Linked DNA regions of Alligator mississippiensis. The protein of the gene in region 2 purifies or fractionates together with the protein of the main gene of each other region. This does not show direct contact. Links are inferred from orthologs where the notes say so. Each region holds a gene or a part of one and is shown on either strand. Other genes may lie near its edges.

Evidence for each region.
Region 1: the proteins of TCOF1 (region 2) and ARRB1 purify together in Homo sapiens (affinity purification with western blotting; 5 studies listed by BioGRID and IntAct, with this or other methods). This does not show direct contact. The link is inferred for Alligator mississippiensis from reciprocal best matches to the Homo sapiens genes TCOF1 and ARRB1.

The regions. Positions count from the first base shown.
Region 1 is NC_081824.1:478,359,527-478,367,083, reverse strand, and holds the start of ARRB1 (beta-arrestin-1), read right to left. Parts: upstream 3,163-7,557; 5' UTR 3,148-3,162; coding exon 2,976-3,147; intron 2,724-2,975; exon of another isoform or gene 1,426-2,723; coding exon of another isoform or gene 1,302-1,425; intron 1-1,301. UniProt on the Homo sapiens protein: Functions in regulating agonist-mediated G-protein coupled receptor (GPCR) signaling by mediating both receptor desensitization and resensitization processes.
Region 2 is NC_081832.1:75,212,565-75,220,217, reverse strand, and holds the start of TCOF1 (treacle protein), read right to left. Parts: upstream 3,029-7,653; 5' UTR 3,021-3,028; coding exon 2,859-3,020; intron 296-2,858; coding exon 240-295; intron 1-239.

The sequences.
Region 1 (7,557 bases), on a different chromosome or scaffold from region 2:
ATGGAAGAGAAGAGCAGGACTATCGCTCTCTGGAGCGATGGAAAGCATTCACCACTCCAGACCCATCTGAGTCTCGTGGCCTTTCTCCTGGCCTGCCCCAGAGAAGGTGTACGCTCCAGCTTCCTTCTGCGAGCTGCACCCAGGCCTCTGAGGCCTGCCGGACCGGGTGGCACGTACGGCTTCGAGCTGTACAGCACCCACCGCACGCCAGGCTAGGCAGAAGGCTTCAACTTCCTGCACCTGGTTGCCTCTGTGCTTTTTTCCACAGCACTGGCATGCTGACAAACTCCTCAGTCCCGTGCTAGACTGGAGCAGCAAGTCCCTCGAGGCTAATGCACTGCACGGAAACATCGCCTCGCCTCCCAGGCAGACCTGCCGCCCCTTCCTGACTTCGTATGAGTTTCTGTGGTGGGCGAAGGCGTGAATGCAGGATGGCATGGCAGGGGCAGGGAGGTGCCGGGAAGGCAGAGAGGAGCCAGCGGGGCTGCCGAGGTGGCTCAGATTCACGGAGAATGAAGGTGCCCGCGTCTGGCTCCAGCGATGTTTTGCCCGCAGAACGAGGCACGCTCAGCTCCGGGTGCTTCCATCTCAGTGGTAAAACTAGACCCTCGAATCCACGGCCGTGCTCCTTGAGACCCGCCGCTCCTCGGGCCATGCACACCGATGGCCAGAAGCAAAGTGGTCGGTCTGCAGAGACGTCTGGCTCCAATCCACAACCAACGCGGTGTAGTCGGGGCCCTTCCTACACACTGACATTAATGGCGTCTTAGCCATTTGGGTTGCGGGGAGGGGCAGCGGATGAAAACGAAGCGAACGACTTTGCATCCGATGCGGCTGAGCCAGGGTGAGCGGCTCTCCCCAGAACAAAGAAACTGGATGCGGGGGTGAGTCAGGTCTGCAAATTCCCAGGGTGGAGAAATTGGAAGTCTGAAAAAGGGTTTTGTTGGGTTTTTTTTTTTTTTCCCCTAGCTAATGGGTAATCAAAGCGGGACTGTAATTAGATACGAGAAGAAGAGCATTACATATGGGGTGGGAGATAATGGAGAAGCAATATGCTCTGCCGCCCTGGGTAATTAAACCGGAAAGCTAGCGGCCTCGGAGATGCATAATGAACAGAGGTAACAACAACCTGAAATGCTCTGATTCTTGCTGCCAGGGGCCGGCGGGAGCTTCTGAAGACCCCGTTTTGCCGCTGCAATGCCCAAGAGCCAGGCCTTTTTCACGCACGTTGCAAAGTCCCCATGACGATGCCCCAAGCAATAGGGCTAAGCAAATCCCGCTAAGACGCTTGTGTTCCTTACCGTCTCCGATTTCTGCCGGGACCTGGCGTAGGGGACCTGGGCTCCAGTCATTAGCTATTGGAGAGGGGACAAGGGGAGGGGAGGTTTCACATCTCATGGTCTCTGGCTTTCCTTTCAGACACATTTGTGGCTTCTGCAGCCTGCTGCCACTAGCTCGGCCTGCCTAATGGATCGGCAGCCTCCTTGCTGCACCCTGTCTTTCACCTCTCCAAACTCAACCTTAAAAGGGTGCAGCGAGCAGCAGGCATCCAGAGGATAAAGCCCTTTTCAGACCAGCCTGCACCATACAGGCCAGAGGTGCATCTCCCTCAGTCTGATGCAGCTTCATTCGACCGGGTCCTGCCCCCCCGGCATCTGAAGCATAATCCTGAATCAAGCCATTGCTTTCCACGACATTGCTCCAGGTTTCCAGCAGCGCCAGTGGTGCCTCTTACCCCACTGTAAAGCAGGGGCTCGGTGGGTCGAGGGCCCAGGTGACTCTGTCTCTCTATTTAAAGTGCAGAGGAGGTAGGTGCCTCCCCAGGCTTTGTGGGCTCCACGCCCAGAACCAAGCTCCTAAATTTTAGGCGTTGAATGCTCGGCGTTGCCGCTGTAACTGCCTCTCCGGATCTGGCCCTTCGGCCCTCCTGAAAACTTTACACAAGGGCTTGCACAAGGGCTGGCGGAGTCACAGGAGATCTGGGGCCGGTTCCTGGCTCTGCCACAAGCTTCCCGTGCAACCTTGGGCAAGTCTTCTTGCCCCTTGCATCTATGGTGGGCAGGACAACACAACCGGTGCCTCTCCAGATGTTCGGCTCTTCGGGACACGGCCTGCTCCCGGTGGTGTGAAGAGCAACCAATGCTACGGGCCTCTGATCTCAGCAGGGGTTTCCAGGTGCTACTTTCATATAGATAAGAAGTAATAGAAGGAAATCCCTGGGAAAGGATCTCGCCGTATGCCATGCAAACAGGTCTGGACTCTTTCAGTCCCTCTCCAACAGTCACGTCTCACCCTGCCAGGAGCTCATTACATCTCATTCCCAGGACCGCAGGCTGCAGCCTGGGCCTGCACATCCCAAAGTCTTCTCACAGACAGGAAAAATAGTTCCCTGAGCCCCCTTCACACCTAGAGCTGTGGTTTTCCTGGGACCCCCACCCCAGCCTCAGCACGCACAGAAACCAGGTCGCTCCAAGCCAGGCTGGGTTCGATGGAGGCAGGCTCCCATGCCTGTCGGGATGCCAACTTCCAATTGATCGTGCACTTTAGCAACCGCCCGATATCCTGATCCTTCACACGCTGCCATCGATGGGAGGTTTGCCAGGGAGAGCAGGGTTGGATGCCTGCCCCTACCGCAGCAGCTGCCCGGGCACAGCTGGCACGGTGCAAACCCTGGCTGCACTGGTGTAAGAGATCGCTGGGCGGTCCGCAGCACGCATCCCACTGGTTTGCCTCTATAACCAGACCTCGTACCTACAGCCACTGCTCTCCCTCCTCCTACCTTCTTCCTCAACACCCGCTTTGCTGGATAAGCAGCGGGCCAGGCAGCCAGCCAGCTGGAACAGCTCCTCTCTCTTGCATTCATCAGCATTTTGTCATTTATTGCAGCACAAACATTGGGGCATGGTAATTCATTGACCAGACACCTCGTCTAGCTGCCCTGTGCAAATGCACACTCTAACTGGCGCGACTCTCACCCTCCCTTCCGAGATTCGTCGGGTCTGGTCTGAAACGAGGCAGTGGCATGAACTGTCCTCTATGATGTATTGAAACAGCACCCTGCACGCTTGGGCTTGCATCCCGGCTGCAGCCCCCGGGTGCTGCAGGCATCCTGGTCGTCAGCATCCTCTCTGCAAAGTCCAGACCCATCCAACCGCTAGCTAATGTTCCCTTCGAGTGGGTAGGATGGGCATGAGAGCACACTCCAGCCACGACCGGGGAAACTTGCTGATGTGGAAAATCTCTAACCCTCCTGTCTAATTACAGCTACGGCAAGGCTGTTGCATAAGCCCCCCCGTTCGGTACGCGCTGTCCTTGGAGACAGCACAAAGCCAAAGCACTTCTGCACCCGCATCCCGGGCTGGGCTGCTCTTTGCATTGGGAATCCCACCAGGTGAACCAAGCCAAGCAGCCACTTACCAACAGGATCCACCATGTCTATGTGGTCCACGAAGTCCCTCTTCCCAAGGTAGACTGTGAGCTGCAGGGAGAGGGGACACAAAGGGAATCAGGGACGGAGCAGACAAGCAGCCGGTGCCCATGCTCCACAAGGCCCAATCCCATATAAACCCCCCTGGTCACTTCTGTTCCACTGGAGAAGGCAAAACTAATGTTCAAATTGGGATTAATGGGGCAAGGGAGAGTGACGGCGTCTCCAAGACTCGATGTCTACAGCGGTGGGACAGGACCTGAATGTGGGGTGGCATGGGGTGGTTTAAGGGGGACACTTTTTAATACAGTTTCCAGGGGATAGTGGGGTATCATCCCTGGGGTAGCAGGTCAGGAGCAGGCAAGCTCTTCTCCATCCAGTGTGGAATATTTGGGCTTAAAGCGGCAGGACAAAGAGGGGGCTGTGAGAGTGAACTTGCCTGCAACCCTGCACAGCCCCTGAGCACCCTTTTCCTCTGTTTGCTGGCTGCCTGGCCAGGAGGGTCGGACCCGTCCTGGCAGGTCAGGGATGCTATAGAGACAGGCCTCGAGGAACATCGCAGCAGCGCTCGCAGTGTGCAATGGTGTGACCCACGCTTTCGGGGTGCAACCCACGCCTTAAGCACACAGGGCTCTCGCTAAAGATAGCAGCTTGACCAAGAGCTAATCATGGAAAGCACTGGGTCAGCAACACATTCCCCACCTGCCTCCTAGGGGGCATCGCCATTGCCATCCCCATCCCCGGTGGTACAGGAACCTGCTATCTCACCAGGCACTGCCTGCTCCGGTAGCGAGTATAGCAATGAGCAAGGCGGCTCATTCATGAGCTTCCTTCTGGCTCTGCTTTTACATCACAGTGCCTGTTTTTGACTCCTCGCTTGACCATTAGTCCTTGCAGGCGATGGATCCTCCAGCCCACATCTGGAAGGAGAGCTGGGAGTGGGAAACACCCTGCTTAGCATCCCTGTGCTGTGAGCCCAGGGTGTATCTAGAGCAGTGATTCTCAACAGGGTGCCCCAGGAGGCCGCACAGCATTAGCACCGCTAGGTGTGCAAACGGGATGTGCAAGATACACCCAGGTCTGGGACAGACATTGCATCAACCGGTTTGTTAAGTCTGAGACTACATTCGACCAGGTTTGTCTCAAACCGGTTTCAGCCCTTTTCAAACTGGTTTATGTGCCCTGAACATCTGTTCTGTTCCAGGTTTAAACCAGTTTCTGATCACTGAAACTGGTTTATGTGTAATGTCCGTCCCTAGCCCGAGATTTCAAACAGGAATTCATAGTTGGGGTCTTTTGAAGAACTTTGCAGCAGAAAACCTGCTCTATTATTTCTCCAAAAAAAAAGAGTGACAGGTGAGAGCTGGTGTTTTCCCAAGGGGGTCTTGATCTATCCAGGGGTGTCGCATGTCTAAAACCCCTGGTCTTGAGTGACCCGCCTTACTCTTCCTCGCATCCACCATCATTGATTTAGAGATGCCAGAGAATACAGCCCTCATTGGTGTGTTTAATACCTATTAATAGACTGATCATCCAAGAATTGGTCTAGCCCCTTCCTGAACCTGGCTATGCTATCTGCCCCGACAGCTTCCTGCGGCAGCGAGTCCCACAGGTTAACAACGCAGCGAGTGAAAAAGCCCTTTCTCCGAGTTCATTTTAAGCTCATCGCCTATTTATTTCAACGAGCGCTCCCTAGTTCCAGCATCTGGGACACGGCAAGTAGCAGTTGTCATTTGGTGCACACCCTTCGTGATTGTATAGACCTCTACCATATCCCTCCTCGGCCGCCGTCTTTCCAAACTAAAGAGTCTCACCCAGCCTTTCTAGTCTTTCCTAGTACGGCAGCTGCTCTATATCCCCAATTATTTGGGTCGCTCTTCTCCGTGCCTTTTTTAACCTTACTACATCCTTTTTGAGATAAGGAGACCAAAACCCATGCGAGGGTACCACCCACCCCTGCATCAGGGTTCGCAGCAAATGCATCCAACCGGGAACACTGCCAGGCTCCGGCCAGGTACATCCATCAAACCATAGCTCAAGTTAATCTGCTTATCCTGAATGCATTAATAAGCCTAATAAGTAAATCCCCTGTCTGGCAGGGCCTGTGTGGGTAGCTGGGGTATCATGTGCAGTCCCATACAGCTTTGTTGGCATGCCATACTCATTTCCAGTTCTCCTTGCAACCAAAGGAGCTCCTCTCTTGAAGTCGGCTCTTTCACCTCGGGATGAGGCCTGGTTCTTCTCAGGGTGCCAAGGTTGGATGGAGATTTCTCCCTGGCTCCATTTCTGAAACCTCCCTCAGGCCTAAGCCAATAAGTAGGGAGGGCAGAAGGGCAAAGATCTGCATCGGAGAGACATGGCTGTCAGCGGCTCTCCGAGCCAAGCTGCTGGATGGACATGCAGGCAACAGATGGTCCCGAGCAGCTTACAAAGGAGCTGAAACCGTCGGCAGTACAGGAAGGATGCAGCTCAATGGGTTTTGTGCCTCTTGCATGGCATTAGAAAAGATATACAACCCGCCGGGTTTTACCGCTGTCTGATTTTATCATAGCCCAGCCCTTAAATCCTGCTTGTAGCACAATGATCCATCTAACCCGAGACGTTTCCCCAGCGGTATCCCCAGCACGGCTCGCTGCTGGTCTGCATGGGAGGAATTTGCAGCCGCAGCAAACAGCCCCGCACATGACCAGCCCGTCCCTTTGGCTGCCTGCAGCATCCCCCTTCCTCGTGCCTCAGCCGTTGTCTGCAGGGTTGTCCCTGGGACCTGAGCGTGAATGAAAATCAGGCCCCTACCTTCCTCTAGGAGTGGAAAGCACCAAGGCATTTTTGTCTCAGCTGGAAAAACAGCCCCCCAACAGCGTGTGCTTGGTGTCGTAGGCCTGCCGGAGAGCCCTCTGACTCCAGGGGTCCATAGATGTGCGGATAGCCCTGCCGGCTTGCAGCACTCACGGCCTGTCCAGCGTGCAATGGCACTGGCACGGAGGGGGCCGATTGCCTGGCTTGGAGGTAAGGGGGGATGCTTTTCCCGGGAGGTCCCATGTCACCTGCACCCGGCTTAGCCAGACGGCACCCGGCGAGCCCAACGGGCCAGGAGCGCCAGCACGGTGCTGCTCTCCCTGCTCATGGGAAGGGGATGGTAATGAAGCTGGCAGTGGCTCCGGGAGGACTGGCAGTCCAACCGCTTGCTTCCTGCTGCGCTGTAATCACTTCTCAGGCATTTCTCTCCCCAGTTATGCCAGAGACAGAGCTCAGCAAGCGCTCGTGCAGCAGGATCCCCCAGGGAGGCACTCTCCGGCCAGATGGCACGGCGGATCGCCAGCCAGGCAATCAGCTGCAGGATGTTTAGAGAGATGCACTAAGATACCCAGGGCTGAAAGGCAGAGAGGGGAAGGCTGGCAGAACCGTCTCCCCGCTCCTCCAGCATGTTCTTATCCAGGGCTAGGGACGGGGTCACTTTGCAACAGGCTCTGCCCTTCAGGGGTCCTGCCTGCACCAAACAAGAGCCCGGGAGCAAGCTGCAAGGCGGCACCAGTCTGGAGCCCTGTGCGATGAGGATCCAGTCCTCCCGGCTGCAAAGCGGCATCCCCTCCGGGTCACACGTGTGAGGACAGAGGTGCAGGAGGGACACCTCTGATGGACGAGCGCTAAACGGACCAGACGCGGGTTCTGCCTTCTCTCTCCGTCGGTCCAAGACAGATGCGATGAGTGTTATAATCCCAGCACCATCAGGCACAGGCCTAGGAACTGTCCTGATCCTGAGACAGACCCAGGCCAGAGCGGGCAGGGACGAGGGGCACCTCTATCAGCTGGGGGATGCTCCACAAACCACCTGCAATACGAGACGACCTGCCGTCACCTCCTGCACGAGTCTTCAGTTAACAGCTGACGGAGCAGGAGATTTTGGTCATCTCTGCCGCTGTTTCCAGTAATCATGTTCAGGGCTGTCTTATATCGCTTGGTCCAATGCCCGAGAGCACACGGAGTGCGTCTCAGCGCTCTGTTAAGGACAGTGCTGAGTTTTTTTAGTGTGCCAGCTTCGGGCGCTCAGGGGCTGGTAGCATGCAGCTGGCCTGGTCCCGTGGGACGACTGCCCATCATCCTGGAGTGGGTTTGCAAATCCTTGTCCTGGT
Region 2 (7,653 bases):
TATGCCCTAGGAGAGCTGTCTTTTAAGCAGCTGTAGATGCGGAAGGCAGGGCATGGTAGTGGAGAAGACCCCATCGTTCAAACCACATTTCCATCTTGCAGCAGCGAGAGTATTTCCGGTAAGTCAGCCCACCCCAGCGAGCAGAAACCGCAAAGGCAGCCGAATTTGGTTCCTGCTATGGTGGGAGAGAAAAATGAGTTGGAGCCTTTTTGATAAGGGTTTCTACTGGACGGACTTACTTCTTCCAGTGGGTGAAGATCTCCTCGAGAGAGGTCGGCAGCGAAGGAAACTCTTTCTGCGGGAGAAACAGAAAGGAAACATTAATTCCAGTTCTTATCAAGGTGCAAGGGAAAGCAGGAAGCAGATGGAAAGACACTGCAAAAAACATGACTTAAGGGGTCTCAGCAGATGACTAAGAAACCATCGAACAGAACTGCAGCCCCCATCGTTTCAGTTCAAGGTCCACTACCAACACGATACAAAGGAAGTCGAAGGACTCAGCTGCTCCATGCAACTCGGGAGAGCTCCACCACTGTCAGCAGAAGGATTTACGTGGAAGGTCTAGTCTCAGGTCTACACTGCAGATGTTTGCATGGAGAAAAGGCACCGTGGGTTAGGAACAGCGCCACGTGGGATCTCCACCAGCTTCGCTCAGGACTAAGGTGCCTGGCAGCACTGTTTAAAGGCAGTTCGCAGCATCTCTGAGTGGGACCGAGTTCGAATTACTGCTCTCCATCCTCGACTTTTGCAGCCCTGCACTAGCCAGCCCATTAAAGACAACGATGCCCGCTTCTGGGGAGGCCGACTGGAGGTTTCCAACACACTTCTGGCTACGTGCACAGAGGCCAGTCAGCACGTGCAGCCCTAGACAGCCTCATGAAAAGTCGGCAGGAGCGGTTTAACTCACCAGCTGAGGTCGAATGGGTATTAATTCCCCCTCCATCCCTTGCACGCATGCGCAGATACAGCAATAAGGCCAAGCTCAGGATGCCTCCTTTCCCAGCTAGCATTTTATTTTAAAGCAAAGTTCTCACTTTCCCATGGGACCGCGGACGCCAAAAGAAAAAGGGCGCCCTACTTGGAGCAACCATTCAATCAGTCTGGCGTCTGGTCCAGATCACACAGAAACCACCAGCCCAGCCCTCGCTCCCTCCCCGCCACGCACCATGGCTTATATTTGGAGGTAGTGGGGATCCAGCAGGAATAGCCTAGGCAGCCGCAGCACGTCCACCCCGTCACGGGGCAGTCACAGGAGCACAAGCAAGCAATTGTTGGGACCTGTCAAGAGGCTGGAAGCAGTGGCCATGGGGAGCAGGGGGGGCTGCAGCCTGGCCACGAGGTTCCTCCCAGGCTGGGCCAGGGGGATGAAGGTATAGGAAGCACCGCAAATGCAATGCAATCAAATCCAGTGCAATGCAGTGCACTGAAATCATAGAAAACGAGGGTTAGAAGGGACCCCAGGAGGACGCATCTAGTTCAACCCCCTGCTCCAAGCAGGGCCAGCCCCAACTACAGCATCCCAGACAAGGCTTTGTCAACCCGGGTCTTAAACACCTCCAAGCATGCAGACTCCACCACCTCTCTGGGTAACTTGGCCCAGTGCTTCACCACCCTCCTAGTGAGAAAATTCTTCCTAATATCCAGCCCAACCCAATGCAATGCACTGAAACCCAGTGCAACCTCTGGGAAGACTGTTTTAGGCTGGACATTGGAAAAATCTTCTTTACCATCCGGGTCTACAATCTGGAATAGACTCTCCCCCAGAAGTGGTGCAAGTACCTAGTCTGGACCCCTTTAAGACACACTTGGATGCTTATCTCACTGGGATCATTTGACCCCAGCAAACTTCCTGCCCCTGGGGCAGGGGGCTGGATCCCATGATCTTGCAATGTCCCTTCCAGCCCTAATGTCTACGGCAGAGGTTCTCAAACGGTGGTCCGCAGAAAGGTGACCTAAGACTAAAGCTGAAACATTACACTAGACTTCCTGGAACTTTGCTCATAAAAACAGGCACGTCCACTGCATTAAAGGTCAGACTACCGATATTAAAACATGAGTTGTGGGCTTTGATTTGTAGAACAAAAAACATTTTTATTAAGTGGTCTGCTGAGACCCTCAGCAATTTTCATGTGGTCCATGAAAAAAAGTTTGAGAACCACTGGTCTATGCAATGCCATGCACTGAAACCCAAGGCAACCCAGTGCATTGACGCCCGGGGCACCCCAATGCGCTGCCCTGATGCCCAGGGCACTGCAATACAACACACTGAAGCCCGGGGCACTGCGCTGAAGGCCAGGGCATTACAATACAATGCCCTGAAGGCCAGGGCACCCCGATGCACTGCACTGAAGCCCAGGGCACTGCAATACAACACACTGAAGGCCAGGGCACCCCGATGCACTGCACTGAAGGCCAGGGCACCCCCATGCACTGCACTGAAGGCCAGGGCACCCCCATGCACTGCACTGAAGGCCAGGGCACCCCCATGCAACACACTGAAGGCCAGGGCACCCCCATGCAACACACTGAAGGCCAGGGCACCCCCATGCACTGCACTGAAGGCCAGGGCACCCCCATGCAACACACTGAAGGCCAGGGCACCCCCATGCACTGCACTGAAGGCCAGGGCACCCCAATGCAACACACTGAAGCCCAGGGCATTGCAATGCACTGCCCTGAAGTCCGGGGCACCCCGATGCACTGCCCTGAAGGCCAGGGCACTGCCATACAACACACTGAAGGCCAGGGCACTGCACCGCGCTGGCCTGGAGGCCGGGGATCCCCTGGCAGCGCAGCGCAGCGCAGCGCAGCGCACGCGGCGGGGCCGGGCCGGGCCGGGCCGGGCCGGGCGCCCTTACCTGTCCGAGCTGGCGCTGGAGCTCGCGGGCGGCGCGGGCGAAGCCGGCCTGGCGCAGGTGGTGGTGGATGAAGGCGAGGAGCTCGCGCTGGTGCGGCCCCGCCGCGGCCATGCCGCCGCCCGCGTCCCGGTCCTGGCCCCGGCCCCGGCCTCGGCCCCGCATGCCGCCGCGCCGCGCCGCCCGCCGCCCTTTGCCCGCGCCGCCCCCTTCCTCTTCCCGGCAGCGCGGCCTTGTGGGGCGGGTAGTTCTTCCGCCCGCCCGCCTCCACTTACCCTCGCTGCAGCCCGAGCCCATTGCTCCGCGTCCTGAGACGGAAAACACCATGAAGTTGCTGGTTTGGTTTGGCTTGGCTTGGTTGCCCGTCCTCAGTGGGTCTCACCGCCGAGCCGAGAGGTTTCCATGCTGGCATGTCTTTTTAGTCAAGGAGTGGTTGTTGGAGGTTTTCTAAAGGAGATCAAAGAAGCGCGGGTCAGGGATGGTTTAGGGTCAGCTTTCCTTCACGCGGGCCGGGGGTCGCGGCCAGCCCTAGGAGTCCCCGAAACGGAGGGTCTGGGCAGGGGGTGGGCTCTGCGAGGCGGCCCCCACCCCTGAGTCTCTTTTCTTTCCAGGAAAAACCGGGCTCCGTTCACTTCGGCAGAGGTTTATTTTTGGAAGGTTTAATGCTGTGCACCGTGCACCCCTCCCGCCCTCAAACGCACAACCGTTATTAGTATTTATGGACGAGATTAAATATAAGCCTGGCTCTGCGCCAGCTGGCTCCCAAACCGAGCCCCTTCGACAGCCTCAGCCGTCAAGGTGAGCGCGAGCGCCCCGGGCCCGGGGCCGTCTTCCAGCAGCCAATGCAACACGACAGCTGCGCCGTTGCACCGGGCGAGTGATCGTTATGCAAACGATCGCGCATCATCGATACACATAAATATATGCGCTCGTGCAAATGATCGCCCGTCGTCAATATAAATCCAGGCGGTTGCTGAGTATGAACTGGAGAGCGTGGACCCGCCTGGCCTTCAGGCAAGTCTGCGTTAGGTTTTCAGCGCCCGTGGCTTTATGACCAAGGAGAGAGACCCCACCAAGGTCAACCCGGCGTGGACGTCCGTGGGGTTACGCCAGCGTTAAAACCCCGGGTGCAAATGAGAATCAGCCTCTGAGACTTAAAAGGGCCACTGTCTGCTGCACATATATTTAGGAGCAGATTTTGACCTACTTTGACACGGGCCCATCTGGAAGGGTTTTTTATACCTCCAGGAGTCTTTCCGTTTGTTTTGCTTTGATTTCTTTTTTTAAGTAATGTTGCGACACGCCGGGAGCTTGTTTTTCGAAAACCGCGCGGAGGGCCACATGCGAGGCTCACGATAGAAAACAAGATGTGTCATGCAAGGTTTTCCATGCAAGGTTTTCAGCTCTCACCGAGTTGCATAGGAAGCCTGGACGCGCTAAAGGGGGTGTCCATTCGCTGCCTCCTGCTGAGAAAGGCCTGTCTGCTGCAAATATCCCCACAGAGCACCCACCCTGGGCAGAATTTGCCTCTTCCAGGTGATTACTGCAATCCTTAGCATTCAAAGATCTTCATGCCCACTCATCCTCATCTCTCATCTGGGAGAACAGGGGGGAAGTGACGATGTACCCCAAGTCATGGAAGGGGCCTAGATTCTCCAAAAAGCTCCGGACGGGGGTTTTTCGGTGCTCAGCAGCTACTGTAGGCTCCCCTTTCAGTGCCCAGGCAAGATGCTCCCTGGGGCAGCGAGTCCCATGCAACTAACCTCAACGTGTGCCCTGGAATAAGGGCAGGGAGGCACCACAAGAGATCTTCTAGCTCAGCCCCGTGCTCGAGGCCGGGTCAGCCCTGCCTAGACCCACTTAAAGGCCTTGACGGTCGTGGGCCCTGATTTGGGTTGTCCCACGTCACAAGTAATGCCCTGCCTGCTTGCAGCACCCTTCATTCTCCCTGCCTGCCTGCCCACGGAGGCAAAATGCACTGTGGAAATGAGCGCCGCTGGAGGGTCCCGGTGGCTGGAGTCGTGGGCAGGACTTGCACTCGACACCATTCAGAATTTTTTTTTTGGAAAATTTGTCTCATTCTGGGTCGAACTGGCCGAACCCTCTCGATTGAGCAGCGCTTTATCGTTCAAACACCGTACGTGGCTCTGCAACCGGCAGGAATCTGTCACCCCAGACTTTGCAGCCTGTGGCTTCAGATGCTCCCAGATCCATTGGTGGGCATCCTATGTGCGGACCCAAGCCCGGGGGCTTGGGGTTTGGATGCCCCTGAGTCTCACTTGCCCAGCGCTGCCCTCTCTGGACCCAAGCTTGGCCTGGGCTCTTGCTGCCTCTCTCCTATTAACGTGCTCGAGAAGCCCCGGGCAAGCTGCGGGCACCTGCGCCAGCCGTATCCTGCATGCCAATGAAGTTCCCCATTCCCACTTCCTTCTTTGCAATCCCCAGCTCCTTTTTCCAGGAATTTCAGCTACACAAAATAACAGGAGTCCTAATAGGTGCAAAGCAAGATGGGAGGGGGGCAGCAAGCCGGCTAGGTGGGGAGGGCAAAGAGAAGGATGGCATTAAGGCCACGCAGGTGAGACAGCCGTCCAGGTGGGATAACAACGTGTGGAGAGCATCCCTATAAAAAAGGCTTAAAAATTGGTGCTTTCTTTCCAAGCAAGCAATCCTGCTCCGGTGCGGGGTCACTTCAGTCCAGAGCCTCCCTCGCGTGCTCGAGCCCTGAACACGGCTCAGTCGGCGGCGCTGCCGGGACCTGTAGTAACACAACCCGCTCCAGCGAATGCATCTGAAGAATTTTTTTGTCGTGCCGCAGTTACAGGTAAGGAAGGTAAACAGGGCGTATAATAAATAGAGCGATTCAGCCAAGCAAACAGCTGCACAATTATAAATAGGAAAATCCTCCCTAGCCCAAACCCCACCGAGGAAAAAAACCAAAACTCCCCGAACAGCATGCAGTTATTAAAAGGTGAGGTTTTTTTTCATGCATTTTTGAAGGAGCTTGGAGCTATTTTGCCAGGTCTTTATTTTTAGGAAGGTGAAATATCCTCAGTGGATTTGAAAAGCTAACCTTTCAGCTATGTGATTTCCATGCCAGGACACTGAGTCATGAAAGGATTGCAGGAAGCTCTTTAAAATCCAGACAAGGATAAAGCTGTAGTAATTTAATAGGCAGCTCAGGACACTTATGCCCAGGCAGGCCTGTTCGTGTCCAGCGCTCCACAAGCCGGGTGCATTGCTTGCTGGTTTAGAGGCCTTTGATTATCGGTTTGTGAAAAGCTCGCCCACATCTATTCCATCCTGAATTACTCCACTCATGCCCCGTCTAAAGCACGGCTTGGGAGCATTTAGCAAACTGGGAAGCTGCTGTCAATCAGCTCCTCAGCCATCTGGAAGCTGGCATTTCCTATGGATACTTGTCTGTGGACCCGTAGGCCTGTGAGGACGCTTTCCTCCCATCTTTACCACGAATGCTGAGCGAGGTTCAGCTTAGTTTCTTTGCTTAATAATGGATCCTTGACATTAGGTACTTATAGTCGGGAAATGTGCACCATAGATAGGGGGCTGTTCCCTGAGCCGCTCAGATCTGCATTACAACCTCCCCCCGTGACCCTGCATCCCAAGTTTGGGGGGATTTGGGTCCAGGTGGTTGGCCACATCTATTGGGCAGAGCGGCAGCTGCAAAATCCAGGGCCAGCTTAGCCACGCAGAGAAATCGGAGGATCTGCAGGGACACTTGGGCATTAGGGCCAGCTGCAGCAGCACGTGGCAGTCAGCCGGGGTCAAGGATCTCGCTTCACGGTCTCTATGTATCGTGAGCAAAGTAATCCTGCTGTAACAATTGGCCACGCTAAAAAATAAAACATGTTGGAGGTGGTCTAATTTACCCCGATAAATCGAGCTCTACCACGATAAAGACGTCAAGGTGTATTTTCAGACACGACTAACCTAGCAAAGTGGCAATTTTTGGCGCCGTGACGTGTACAAGTGCTCTATAGCGCTGCATGCAGCATCTCTGTATAACTGTGATTATGACCTTAGTGAATATACTTGATTTCTAAAGACCCCAAGGTGCCCCTAAGGCTTTGCTTTCTCCTCTGAACAACCAACAGGGGCCATGGGGAGACAGGACGGTGAACGGACCTCTCCAGGCAGTGGTGTCCCATGCACCCGCTAGGTCTCGTCTAGACGGAAGAGGGCCGCCGAATAAATCGCCCGCCCGCTCTCTGCCCGGTGGGGTGGCCCACCCTGACCCTGCTCAGCTCGAGAAAGCTGGCTAGGTCACCACATGATGGTGGGCAAAGAAATAGCCTATGGCTAGGTAGCCGTGCAGCAGGACTGAAGTGCCCACCCAGCAAAGACCCTCCACCGATGCTTTGCAAGGAGGCCCTTTGGAAATAATCCCGTCCTGGCTGGGCTGAAGGGCAGCACCAGGTCAGGGCCATTCTCTCCAGTGCAGACGCAGCGGGGAAGGGGCTGCCTGTTGGGGACATCATATCCTTTCTGGGTTAAATCTGGAGACAGGGCTCAGAGGTGGTGCACAGAGTCCAGTCCATGCCTGGCTGGTCTGTCTCACTCCCATGCTCACGGTCATACTGGTTACCATATCCAGGGCTGGGATGGAAGTGGTCAGAGGAGCAGGAGGCTGTATGGGGCAGGTTCCTCTTCCCCTGCTGGCTTACCTTTGAGGATCGCCTGGATGCATCTCAAGGAATCAATTCCTGGCTGTCCTTTGGTCTCTTTTGATCTTTACCTGCGGCACCAAGTTCAGCTTCTTGAGGTCGGAAATACTTGATGC